Mus musculus: one gene and its partners. The protein of the gene in region 3 interacts with the protein of the main gene of each other region in a pairwise test. Links are inferred from orthologs where the notes say so. Each region holds a gene or a part of one and is shown on either strand. Other genes may lie near its edges. The genes, in order: Fosl2, Spry1 and Creb5.

Region 1 (4,468 bases), on a different chromosome or scaffold from region 3:
CAGTGGGCAGCCAGGCTCCGAGTGAAAAATGGGCAGGCCAGCCCCGCCTGGCGACGCCGCGCCGCACCCCGCCAAGACCCGGCCGCAGGGTGGCGCGGGTGCCCGGTGCGCCCAGGACGCCCGCTGTACCGGGCGGCGCCGCTGAGGGTGCGGACGACTGCGCACGGCCGCGCCCTCCCCGCGAGCAGCTCTGCGCGCCGGGCTCTCTGCCTCGCGGTGGCGCCGCACTGAGCCGCCCGTCTCGTCTTCAGGGCTGCGATTTTTTTTTTTTTTTTTTTTTTTTCCTTTTCTAAAACCCGGAGCCCAGGCCGGCGCGGCCGCTTTCGGGGCCCCGCCCCGCGCCCCTTCCTTTTGGTTGGGGATGGAGGGGAGGAGGTAGGGAGGCCAGGGCGCAGGCGGGAGCAGGCGAGGGAATCCCTCTCCCTCCACGTCACCCGAAGGCGAGGAAACCCGCATTCGCGTCCTCTAACGCAAATGACCATCTTTGGCAACGTGCGCCAATGGAACAGACCAAGGGCGCTGCGCCCCAGGGGGGGTGGAGGAGTTCGGCGAGAACGCGGGCGGCCTCGGCGCCCCCGTAGTGCGAGGGCCGCGCTCTCCCACCCTCCCCGCCTCCCGCCTTCCTCGCGCGGGGTCTGTGGCTGGCGTCAGCGCGACCGCGAGCGAGGCCGGGAGGGGAGCGCCCCGCCCGCCTTCTCCCCTCCCCTCCCGCGCCTCTTCCTCCTCCTCCTTGTCCCAGGCCTCCTCCCCCGCCGCCTCGAGCGCTCCTCCCAGCAAGGTGGAGTCTAAGGTTGACGTGAGTGGATCCACATGGTGCGGGGCTGGAGAATAAAGAGTGTGGAGTTGAACTCGTGCCATTGTAGTGACTCATCTCGGGCAGAGCGCAGGGGCTCGAAGCGAGACAGTGAGCGGCGCTCGGCAGGGACAGAGAGAGAGAAAGAGAGCGAGCGCAAGAAAGAGGGGGAGAGAGGGGAGGGCGAAGCGAGGCGAGAAGCGCGAGGCTTGGCAGGTCCTGGAGCCAGCACGGGGTGCAGGTCACTGCGACGCGGAGCCACGTCCCTCTCAGCACCGCTCAGCCTAGAATCCCACGGGCGCTGTCCCACCGGCGCGATCGGGGCCGCTGGACCGGCGCTCACCGCCTTGTCCTAAGTCAAGTGTCCGAGTCGCCGGGAAACTCAGGCGGCGAGTTGGCCACAGGAAGTTTATTCTCGGGCTCCTTTTCTAAAAGGAGGAAACAGAAGTTTCTCCCAACCGGCAGCTTTTCTTTTTCGCCTTTTTGGCGCCCTGAGAGATCGGGGAGGGAGTCCCCCAGAGCTGCCAAGCGACACCCGCGGGGCTCCTAGTCTTTTTGCGTTGCCCATTTTTCTCCAGCCCGTGGGTCCCGGCAGAGCTCCGGCTGCGCGCGGGGGCGGAAGGGCGCGCGCAGGGGAGGGACCGAGGGACGCGCCGACTTTTTAGAGGGAGGGACTCGGTGGACAACCGGTTCCGCGGAGCTTGCAGAGCAGAAACGAAGTGCGGTGCGCGGCGATCGGGGGGGTCACTTCCCGAGTGTCGCTGCCTCCTGTCTGCCTTGGTTAGGGGACATCCCGGGAGCGAAAAGCCCAGCCCGTGGCCGGGCCGGTGGACCAGCGAGCGCGCAGCAGACTGTGCGCGGCCGCGGCGAGGGCGGGGAAGAAAACCACCCTGTTTCCTCTCCGGCCCCCACCGCGGATCATGTACCAGGATTATCCCGGGAACTTTGACACCTCGTCCCGGGGCAGCAGCGGCTCTCCTGCGCACGCCGAGTCCTACTCCAGCGGTGGCGGCGGCCAGCAGGTACGTGCGGGCCGGGGTGCACCTGGCGGCGCGGGCAGACTCCTACCCTCTTCTTGCTCCCACTGCCTCCACCCCCAACCTCCTTCTTTTCCCTTTCCTAGCCAGGCTAGAAAAATACTTCACCGCTGTAAGTTGTGGGTTTCTTTTCTTTTCTTTTTCTTTTTTTTTTTCCTGTTCCGCCCTACCCACTCTCCACTTTTCTTTTTCTTTTTCTTTTCTTTTCTTTTCTTTTTTTTTAAGCAAGTGGAGAGTGGGCTTGAAGAGCCAACGACACCCTCTCCCCCTTTTCGTACTTAATTTTCCAGAAAAGCTCTTGAAATTACAGGTCCCCTCCGGGAAGCCTGTTGCCTCCTTCCGAGCCGCTCTCCCTCCCTTTTCACGTTCCTCTTTCTAGGTAGTGGATAGGCAAGAAAATTTTTGCGCCCCCTAAGCCCCTCCCAGCCGTCAAGGACCCTACGGGGGGGGGCGGGGGGGAAGGCTTTTTAACCCTTTCTTCTTCTGTTATTCTTCGGTCTTAGCTGTTTTCTGAAAGGGATTGGGGACTCAAAAACAAAGCTGGGCTCCTTCAAGTGTTTGGGAGTGAGGGCGAGGGTTGCCCCTGGGAATTAGGTGCGAAGGTCAGGAAGGAAGAAGCTGGCTTTGATTGGCTCTTGACACCTCCTGTGACACCCCCCCTCCAGCTTCCGGTAAGGGTTGGGCAGGAGCCTGTACTTCCCCCCCCCCCCAGCAGAACTTTGAGGGGCTTGGGGGTACCTGGGGCAAAGAAGCTGTCAGAGAGAAGTGGGAGAAAGAGACACATCGCTTGAGCTCCTGAGTGGATTTAGAAGTAGAAAAACATCTCTTTCTAAAGCAGCCAGACTGGTTTGCACTGAAGGATTGTGCCTGTAATCTGTGTCTTTGTAGGTACCAGACAGGTATTGGTGGGGCGGTAGGGGTGGTAGGGTACCTGGCCTGTGTCGCAGGAACCACAAACACCATCTTGTGAGGGAATTGCATGAACTCAAAAGGTCCTCTGCCACCTGAAGCCCACCTTGGCAAGCATCTGGGAGTTCCTAGCCAAGCTGGCTGCAGCCAGAGTTACTCCATAAGCCAATAGCCATGGCCTTGACTTTGACCTTTAGAAGTCAACCAGATAGGAGGTCAGGGGTCTTCCAGGGAAGGGTGGAGTGAGCTGGGAAATATAATAAAAATATGGCTTTCTTTGTAATCTGACAAGAGGGGCACCTCTCTCAAAGTAATGTTCCATATCTGGGGAGTCCTTCTAAATGACTTTTCTGTGTCTAGCTCCTCCCAAGCCCCATACCTACTAAGCACCCACTGTAGACAGCCTGGTCTGAGCATTGAGGGTCCAGTCAGTGGACCCTTTCTTACTACTGAACACCCAAATCATACCTGAGAAGTAGTCGCTTATGTTTGCATCCCAGTACATTTGGTGTTTTGGGTTGAACCCAAACATCACTCATCAATGGGTTTAGAGTCCTTTATACCTGTTGTCCCCTACTTTCCAATCCAATAACCCCACCCCATGTACCTCTCCTTTCCAACCAACATAGAAGCTTTGCGTTTCTGTTTCTTCCACTAATGAGACCAAGACAGTGAGCACTGACAGTACAATCTCCCTGCCTGGCTTTGCTCAGACTCTGGGGCCTGGATGGGAAGTCAGACCGGACATCAGTGCCCCAACTGAATAATCTGTGTCACTAGGGCTTTGAGCCCAGGATGTGAGCGGAGGCAATTCCCTGTTTTGGAAGCAAATCAGACAGGAAACCGATGCTCGGATGAAGGAAGAGAGCTCCGTCCAGCAGTGTGTAATAGGGCCTCATTACCCAAGCAAAAAGCAGCTGTTGGCTAATTCCTAGCATGCTGTAACACAGGAGGATTTTGCAATTAGCAGCAACCAGTGCATGCGATTCTCAGGTATAGCTGCCTATTCTGCTCAGCCTTATGAGCAAGAAGTCTTTCAAACCAGAGGGATTGGCAAGGTAATGCCACTTAAGCCAACTCTCAGCCTTGTCGGGGCGGTGGGTAGGAGACGAGGAACAGGGGGAAGGCTTCCCCCTCCCTGATCTGGCTGTCTATAAAACTGTTCTGTGGTCCCAGTGATAGGCCTCTGTTTTTGTTACTTCCCAAGTCTGTGCTGCTACCCCACCCCAATCTGGGCTCAAGGTAACTTTATTACATGCCAGATAAAGTCTGTAATCAGCTCTGCTCCCAGCCCTCTACATGGGGAAGCTTTCCTGGCAGTTAGTGACTGGGCCTTCCTCCTTTATGACTGCACGGTGGACCAATCCAATCAGTGGAACTTGTGAGAAGTTCCTGGTTTTCCTTGTGCAAGTGCATACTATTTTCCCCCTGTTCTCCTTGTTTGTGGGGTCCTGTATCCCCATAAATTTGCTGTCTGGCACTCCCCCCCCGACCCCCCCCCCCGCGACATCTAGCTTCATAAGGTCTTAATACTGCGTCTTAGTACTAAGTACCTAGTACTTCCCCACTGACCTGTGGGGTGGGAGGCAGACAGCTCTTTGTTAAGACCTCTGCTTGTGTCTATGGCAGGAACTCAAAACACGAAAACTATTTCCTGTTGTAGCTATAATCTCAATCTCAAAGGTTAATCAATCCCTGGCAATTTAATTTTTTTTGGAGCTAGGTGGAT
Region 2 (3,983 bases), on a different chromosome or scaffold from region 3:
GCTTTGATCTGGTCTAGGGACAGAATCGTAGCAGGCTGAGTGTCCCTGTCATAGTCTAACCTCTGCCGGCCTTCCACAGCCGGTGGCTGAATCACCACTAGCGAAGTGTGGCTGCCATGCTGACTTGGGGAATCCATGTGGAGTGATCTCCAGTTCCAGCAGTCAGCGGAAATCTGCCATGCATCTGAAATCCTAAAGAAGAGTGAGAGAGAAAATAAGCGACAGAAAGCGGATTTGGGGGAGAAGGGCTGCTGTCAAGTAACAAATTCCCCAAGCCACCTGGTAATGATCCCCTTCATCGGCTGATTTCAATGATGCCGAAGCCTGGCCAGAGTCCAACTCCAAAAAAAAGATTGCAGAGGACCATATCACAGGAAGACAGCAAAGACCTCATGCCTTAAAAATTAGAAGTTGCTCTCCAGCTTCTAAGAAGCAGAGGAAGTCGTGTCTTCCTGTTTGCAAACCTAACAAATAATTAAAATGAAATATGCCTTCGAAAGAGCAATTCAGTGTGAGCCCTGGAACTGTTCTCAGAGTTCACTGTCAGTTCACTGGCAGTTCACGTAAGGAAAATGTCAGCTACTTTTTAAAGATTAAGAATGGCTTTAGTGCTGTGGCCTCTCGGCCATTTATATGCTGTTACGAGCTTTAGATTAATGAGAAAATTAATCAAGGCAATTTCCAAAACACCGGCTATTCCAAGCTCACTCGGAATCTCAAAAGGCCATTTTCAGCAGAAGTCCGGGTCTGAAGCTAGCTCATCACACAGATCTGTGAGACGAGCAAAGGAAGCTACAAAGAATGAAGAGTGCTCTGCCACAAAGAACACAACCCGGACGGTGTGGACTTAGCTTTCCTTAAAGGTTAATCAAGGCTCCCCCACACAACGAGGATAACTTATGCACAAGTGTCAGCCCTTTAAAGCAGGGAGAGGAGCCCTGGTCTTTTTACATTATATTTAATTCCCTTCATTTATTAGCACGACAGACCTTGATTTTCACAAGCCCTGAATTGACCTGCTTTTTGTAGTAAAATAAATACACTGATAGACAACAAACACAACTTCCATGTCAAAAGGAAATAGCTTCCAATTTATAACGTATTCTTCCTGAGACAGACCAAACTCTTTCGATTCTGTTTCTGGGCAATAGGTATCTAAGATATTTTTTTACACAAATGCCTTCCGAACTCACAGATGCACCTTAATTCAAGAAGGCACCCCTTTGCACTTTTCTGGCATCCAAAGAAAATCAAAACAAATACGTCGGTTTACTATGGATGCTAACTAATGTCCCCAGACTACATATGTGTTAGCTTTTTGGAGGCCCCTCTAAGCTTATAACTACCTTCTCCGCACATGAGATGCACGGCCATAACAGCATGTTGTGGTGCCGAAGCCCTAAACGACACTAGAAAACTGCCCATCCTTGCTCCTGTGCCATATCTATTTTTTAAAAATTTAAAACTCCATAACGAAGACTTTAAATATGCCAAGTCTCATCCACAAGAAAGGAAGACGTGGGCACGGCTTGTTTGAGTTATGAAACCCCTAGGCACGGCTTTAATTTGCATTTTACAGGGCATTCCCAAGCAAGTTCGCTCAGGCGGAGCACCTAGGCACCCCGCAACTGTCCAGAGCGAAGCCGGTGCGCACCCGCGGACAGCAGTGTGGGTAGCACCGTCGGGCGCTTGGGCCCCACGCCGAGACCTCAGGGGCACCGAGCCGCGGCAGGTCCGGCCGGATAAAGTTATGAATGAAAACAGCTCGCGGGCGGGAGGAGGCAGCGCCCTCTCCCCGCGTCCCGCGGCACTGCGCTCCGAGCACAGGCGGGCGCTGGGTCCCCAGCGCCATCGGGTGCCGCGCGCTTGGCACGGGCTGCGCGAGGACCGCCAGGACCGCCCGGCCCGCCCCGGCCCGCACCTGCCGCCCGCACTCACCTCGGCCTCCGCGGCGCCGGCCGGGGGCGCCGAGCGGGCGGAGCGCGCGCCGCATCAAGCGCGGCGGGGCGGCCGGGCGCGCATGGCCCGCGCTGCGGCCTCGGCGGCCCCCGGGCAGGGGCGCTTCTCCGCGGTTGGCGGCGGCCGAGGGCGGCTCGGGGACATCCGCCGGGTGCGCGCGGCGCCCGCTCCACAGCACCGTCCCGTCCCGGTCGTCAGGCGCGCGGCCCGGCGTCGTCCCGGGCTCTCGGGTCCCCGCAGGTCCGCGTCCCCGCAGTCGCCACGCCGGCTGCAGACGAGCAGAGACAGAAACACGTGAGTCCCTTGCCAGCCCGGGACGCTGTCCTGCTCGCCGAGATGGACAGCCACGAGCCCCGGACACACACGGCCGTGCACGTTTTGCCCCCACGGAATGCCCCGCAGTCCAAAGCGCGTCCGAGAGACGCGTCTGCGCGAGGCAAGCCCGCACGCAGGGACGGGAAAAGTCAGGTCTGGCACGAGCGCCCGGCGGGTCGGTCCCCAACAATGCGCACAGACACGCGGGTGCGCGGCGGTGCCAGCCCGCGTTCGCACACGCGTAACTCGCTGCCTGGCTACGGAACTCGCTGCAGGGCCGACCGCAAAGCGCCGGGCACAGAGCTAGAGCCAGCTCCGAAAACGTCCAGCTCCTCGAAAATAAAATAAAATAAAGCACCATTCTCACCTGATCTTGCCAGGTCCTCGGCGGGAGGGGAAGGCTCTTACCTAGTGCAGAGCCTGGGGCCGGCCCTCCCGGCACATGCACGCCGCTCGCAGCCGCTCCTTAGCCCGCAGAGCTCTGGCTGCGGGGCCGCCGCAAACCCCTGCGTGCTGAGCACTCGCGCGCGGGCTCCGCAGCATTTCAGCGTCGCCGCCACCTCCACCTCCACGCCGGGACCCGCCCCCGGTGATATCATGTGTCAATCACGCGGGCTGCACGAAAACCCGGAGCAGGATTTCAGCGATCGTGGATGTGGACTCGAGGACGCTCTAACAAAAGTCGATTGCCTGCAGGAGTCCTGCGAGCGCAACTGGGGAGGAGCGGGCATTCCAGGGCCCCTGTCAGTCGTGAGCTGTCAGCCTCCAATTTAAGGGGACTGGTGCAGCCACCCTTAGAGTTGAGTTTAAAAAGAGTTGTGAAGAACATTTAAAAAACAATAACAAACCACCAACAACAACGGAAAAAAAAATGTGTACACCATGACACCGTGCCCCCAGATAAAGGGAAAAGTGCAAAGTTCAGATCATGCGAAATATGAAAGTTTCAGAAAGAACAGTCATTTTTGCAAATGTAATATAATTACACACTAAAGGGTGGGATTTCCTGCTGTGGGGTTTTAGTGATTGCTCCATTTGGTTTGTGATACGATCCCTAAAATTACACGGGGGGAGGGGAAGGGGAGAAAACGGGGCCCAAGTTCTTCCTGCTTTGTAATGTTTGTATAATTTTGTCCAAAACACCAATGCATTTTAAATGAAATAAAATAAGCATAACTCATCAGGAAGTTTTAGCTTTAGCCATATGTCTGTCACGGGGTGGGGGACTTTAGTAAGCTGGGAATGCTTTTTGCGTCTTTACATACTATGGAATTTGGTTATTTATTATATGGACGCTATAGCTCAGGATGTAGTGAAAAGGGCTGTATGTGGAATTAAAAATTCCATAGAGTTTTAAAAATAACCTAAGACCCCCAAAATATTGATAGAAAATATTTTTCCAGGGAATTTTATCAGGAATGGTATTTGATAAACAAAAACTCCATGATCTAAATCACCTGTGAATGTGAGTTAGGATATTTTGGGTTCAAAGTAATTTTTTTTTTAAGTCTTAACAATTGCAGTGAGTTTTTATAAAGTTTTTGTTGTTGTTGGCATAATGCATTTGCAAGCTTTTGAATGTTTTTAGAATTCACGGTTATGTGTGGAATTACATGCAAGGAACCCAGGACACTCCCTATGAAGAAGATCAGCAGTAAGAAAGTGCACTAGAAGGTAATAGAACGTATTAAAAGCCAAGAAGCTGTTTG
Region 3 (4,336 bases):
ATATAAATGTCAGATGTTACATAAATGTCAGGAGCCATTATTGTTTGTTAATGGGGGCTAAACTGTTCCTAAGCAAAGATCCAACTCCCAGCCAGCAAGCTCTTAGTTGAAGTTCTAACCAGTCAGCCATCAGAAAAGAATTAATATGCCTGATTCTACCAAGGAACCCAGGTGAGATCTGGGGTTAGACATGCGCTAGAGTGGTCCCTGATGATCAGGAGAGCTCCTAGCCTTCTGAGTCTGTCTGCCTCAGCTCAGCTGTGAAATAGAGATAATTACAACACACTCCCCGCTTTTCCTTATTCTGTCAAAGTCATATGAGGAAGAAGAAAATGGTGTGGCTTCAAGTGTTTGGCAAAGTGTGAGCTGTTGTTGGATGACAGTGGTCATTTCGAACAGGCTTTCAATGCTCCCCAAAGGGAGAGAGAGCTTCCAAAAGGAAATCTAGCCCTTGCCAGGGATGAGGAAGGTGAGAGCGGTGGCTTCTGGCCCATGCTGAAAAAGGTCAGTCCTCTTTTCCCTTTGCAGACCTGGCCCTAGATCCTGTATTCTAGCCCTGGCTCGACTGCTTCCCAGCCGGCGAGCTTGGGCCAGTAGCAGAGGCTCTGGAAGCAATGGCCAGGGCCCTTCCGGCGCTGACGCGGAGTCTAAATCCGGCTCATCATTTGGCTCTTGGCTGAGATTCGCCTTTCGCCTTTAGAGAGATTCTCTCACAGGTCAGCACATGCAAGGTGCGAGACCAGGGAAGGCTGTGTGTAGTCCTACTGAGTGTGCACAAGAAGTTATATGCCCTTGAGCGTGATGAGGAGAGGGGCGGCGAAATGGAGATACTAAGAAGCCAGCATGCAGAGAACGCTGCAATGAGGTCATGGCTGTCACAGGCAAAGGATCTGGGTATCTTCGGTGGCTGGGGTAGGGAAGTAGGAAGTGGCCTGCATTTGTAAGTGTAAATGTCTCTTTCTACCTCCTTCAGCATCCTTACCACCTCATGCACACACCCCAAACCTTACTTCTTTCTGACCCTACAGACACTTCTTGCAGAAGAGCTCGTGCCGGTGTCTCCTGCGTGGCTCTGTTTGAAACCTTCAGGATTGTTTCCAAGCTGACTCACACCACTAATGTCGGGGGGCCGTGTTACTCGGCGCTGGGCTGTGCAAGCTGTTGCTTGCGCGATCGCGGACGCCGCCGCAAGCACCCGGGTCCGCTCGAGGGGCGGGATTTGGGCGGGGCGGAGACCGGGCCCGCCCCCTCGGCGTGCGGGCCCCGCCCCTCTCTCCCTCCTTTTCCCCAACGGACCGCAATGATTTAGAAGTTCAGGAATCCCACGTGACGTCACCGGGGGGGTGATGTAATGCACTCTAAATAGAATGTATTGTAATCTTTGCTCAGTCCAACGTGGTCCCTTCACCCGGGCTCGGCTCTTGCCTTCTCCACACTTGTTTGGTAAGTTCCTAAAAATACGGCGCGGCCACTTCTGGGCCTTTTGCATTTAGCCACTTTCGCTGCACTTGCCGCGCGAGCCGACTCCGGAGCGTCCTTGTTTGCAGGGGTTGGTTCATCGCTGCAGCCGCGAGGTTACTTAGTCCAATGGGCAGGTCACAGGGCAAGGAGTAGAAAGGATGCGATGCATTTTTTCCCCCTTGATTTGTGTTTGTAAACACTTTGGCGGATCAGAAGGAAGTCCGGCCCCAATTGCTGGTGGACTGTGGAGTTGTGCTGTGTCCTGTAGTCACCCAGAGACCCCACGCCGTGTCCGTCCCGGAGCGCTTCTTGGTGATTGCTGCGCCGTGCGACTGGAGGGATGCTGAGTGGAGCCAGCGCCGTGTCCGACCCAGTGTGCGTGCGTGTATGGGAGCGCGCGTGAGTTTCCCTGACACGGGGAACAGTTATGAATCGGGGGTGTATGTTTGCCTCCAGAGCCCCGGCATGGTGTGGAACCCTTCTGAAGTGTGGTCAAGCGGCGGTGGTGGTGGCGGCGGCGGAGGCGGCAGTGGTAGCAGCAGCAGCAACAGACCAGGAACCTGGAGCCTCCTCGCATCCCGTTTCTCAGTGATGCAGCGGAACCCCGGGAGAAAGTTAGCAAACTTCCAACCGTTGCGGCAAAGTCGCCTGGTCACCTAGGGGCAGCCGAGCGAGTTCGCAGGGGGTTCTCCCTCTCCCGGGTGCCCAGCGGCCGCTGCCAGTTCTCGCGACCGGCCGCCGGCTGCAGCGGGAGGGTCGGTTGCCTTGGAGGGGGACTTGACTTTCGCTCCAGGCGCTCCAGCTCGAGAGTGCTCCGCAGCCCTCGCCTTCACTCCTGCAGCCGCCTCCCGCCTCCGTCCCCTTTGCGCTGGCACTCTTACTTCTTCCGGGCTGCTGCCCCAAATGACAGCTGGGGCCCGAGCCGCACTGCACCCAGGCGGTTCTCAGGACCGGGCGACAGAGTCTGCCTTTGAGCCAGATTCTTTATCGAACCGCTTAAACTTTTCACAAAGTTCTTAAAGGGTTGAGACAAGCAGACACCGCCCCCACTAAGCCACTTTAGAGGGACTATAGCCCGCTTTAATTTTTCATTTATTTTCTAGTCATAGATTTATTTCCAGGGAGTGTCTAGTAGAAAAAGCTCCAGCTTTCCCTGGACGAGTGCCGCCCCCACTTGATGCTGGTTCAACGCTGGGAACTAGAGTGGGCTACTTGTACATCGTTGTCAGTATCAGCAACGCTTGCTTGGTTTTTTATTTTTCCCTCTTCCTGACATGTGTCAAAGAATAAAGGCTGGCTACAGGTCCATTACGTCATTCTGCAGGCCAGTAAGTGTTTTATTAAGGGCTTCAGATATTCAAGGGTTTGGGGGCTCAGAATGCTGTCAAAGCAACTATGCCCCCATCCCCCGGGGCAATTGCGGGTTCTCTGGACACAGCTATTGCCCTCTCTTTCCCTACCCCTCTTCCTCCATCCCTCTCCCGCCCACCTCGTTATCACTCGGCCTGCCCCCGCCTTTTACAGTTTCCCCCAGGGGGAATGCTGTCCCAGGAGTGAGCTGAAGAGCTTCTGGTGCCTGAGCGAGCTCAGTACCTGATGAACGCTCAATCTGCCCTTTTCTATTATTTAAGAAAGGCACTATCCAGGCCCGTTTTTCCCACGCGAGAATGTTCAGCCTGGATAGAAAAATCCCTGGAAAGGTTTAGAAGCCTTATATGCTAATAGCTTGTGCCTGCAGTGACTTAGGAAAGCAATAAGCCACAGCTAAGAGCCCAGAGCCCCGTGAACCGAGCCTAGGAGAAGGATGAAGGACCTGACTAAATCAGGTTTAGCGGGAAAGGATCTAGATTTGACATTTTATTTCCAAAGTCAAGGAAGTGTCTGAGAGCTGAAAGTACCATACAACACTTTGCTGCTGCTGCGCGCGGTACTTTCTTATCCTTATCCTTGAGTTTCTATGTTTGTAGAGGAAGTTAAACGCCCAATTTAGAGAACTGAGTTCTTCCCCACTTGCTCTTTAAAAGAACACCAGCAGCAAAAACACCACCACGTGTGACTTGTTTCGGGGACAAAGAGTGAAAACTTTTGGGCGTGAGTGAATAATGATAGCAGAAATCCAGTAAAAACAGACAGAGGCAGAAGCTTTGGGCTGGGGGACAAGGTGTTTGAAGGCGTTTTGATTTGGAGATGGAGGAAGCTAAGTAGAGGAAATTTTATGTTCTAAATAGGTGGCATTCTTGAAGAACACGTGTTTGGTTATAATTAGATCTACTTTCTCCAACATACTCTGGCCATAGAGCAGGCTTTGTGGAGCTCGTGGCTGGAGATCGCTTGACACCCCTTCTTCAAGTTTGTGGCAGCATTATTTATTGGCATCTAGCGATGAAGTGGCATAAGTCTCCTATGGGAAGCATGGGCATTGAAAATGTTAAAATTCTTGTTTGTGATGCAGAGACCTAAAGGGGAAAATGGGCAGGTCACGGGCCCTGGACAGTGTGATTAATGATCACTGATTTAGTGATCAGTGATTAGTGGTTTTATTCAAACTGTTACCTCTGACCAGAAGCACACATCAGAGGATTAACAGGCTCTTTAGATAAATGCTCATTAGTGGAAGGGGAACAGCAAAGATAATAGGCATGCACCCAGGGACAACTTTCGAAGAAAATCATTCCCGTCTTCAGAATAATAAGCTCTGTTAACAGAAAGCCCTTTTAATTTAAAACTTGCTTTTATCTTGTAAATCAAAGTTAGATGTAAAAGTTTGTAGTGCCATTATAACCTAAATTTTCCCATATCCATGAGATGTGGATTATCCCAGTAGCGATATTTTTTTTTATTTAAATAAACAATTGGAGCTTTAGAGTGGCTGAAC

What was found.
Region 1: the proteins of Creb5 (region 3) and Fosl2 interact in binary tests that used the Homo sapiens proteins (3 or more experiments, as listed by UniProt). The two-hybrid records come from large-scale screens. The link is inferred for Mus musculus from reciprocal best matches to the Homo sapiens genes CREB5 and FOSL2.
Region 2: the proteins of Creb5 (region 3) and Spry1 interact in binary tests that used the Homo sapiens proteins (3 or more experiments, as listed by UniProt). The two-hybrid records come from large-scale screens. The link is inferred for Mus musculus from reciprocal best matches to the Homo sapiens genes CREB5 and SPRY1.

The regions. Positions count from the first base shown.
Region 1 is NC_000071.6:32,134,991-32,139,458, forward strand, and holds the start of Fosl2 (fos-related antigen 2), read left to right. Parts: upstream 1-1,481; 5' UTR 1,482-1,713; coding exon 1,714-1,815; intron 1,816-4,468.
Region 2 is NC_000069.6:37,638,764-37,642,746, reverse strand, and holds the start of Spry1 (protein sprouty homolog 1), read right to left. Parts: upstream 2,801-3,983; 5' UTR 2,642-2,800; intron 2,228-2,641; 5' UTR 1,939-2,227; intron 193-1,938; 5' UTR 138-192; coding exon 1-137. UniProt on the Homo sapiens protein: Inhibits fibroblast growth factor (FGF)-induced retinal lens fiber differentiation, probably by inhibiting FGF-mediated phosphorylation of ERK1/2. Inhibits TGFB-induced epithelial-to-mesenchymal transition in lens epithelial cells.
Region 3 is NC_000072.6:53,285,931-53,290,266, forward strand, and holds the start of Creb5 (cyclic AMP-responsive element-binding protein 5), read left to right. Parts: upstream 1-1,372; 5' UTR 1,373-1,443; intron 1,444-1,444; exon of another isoform or gene 1,445-3,552; intron 3,553-3,558; exon of another isoform or gene 3,559-4,336. UniProt on the Homo sapiens protein: Binds to the cAMP response element and activates transcription.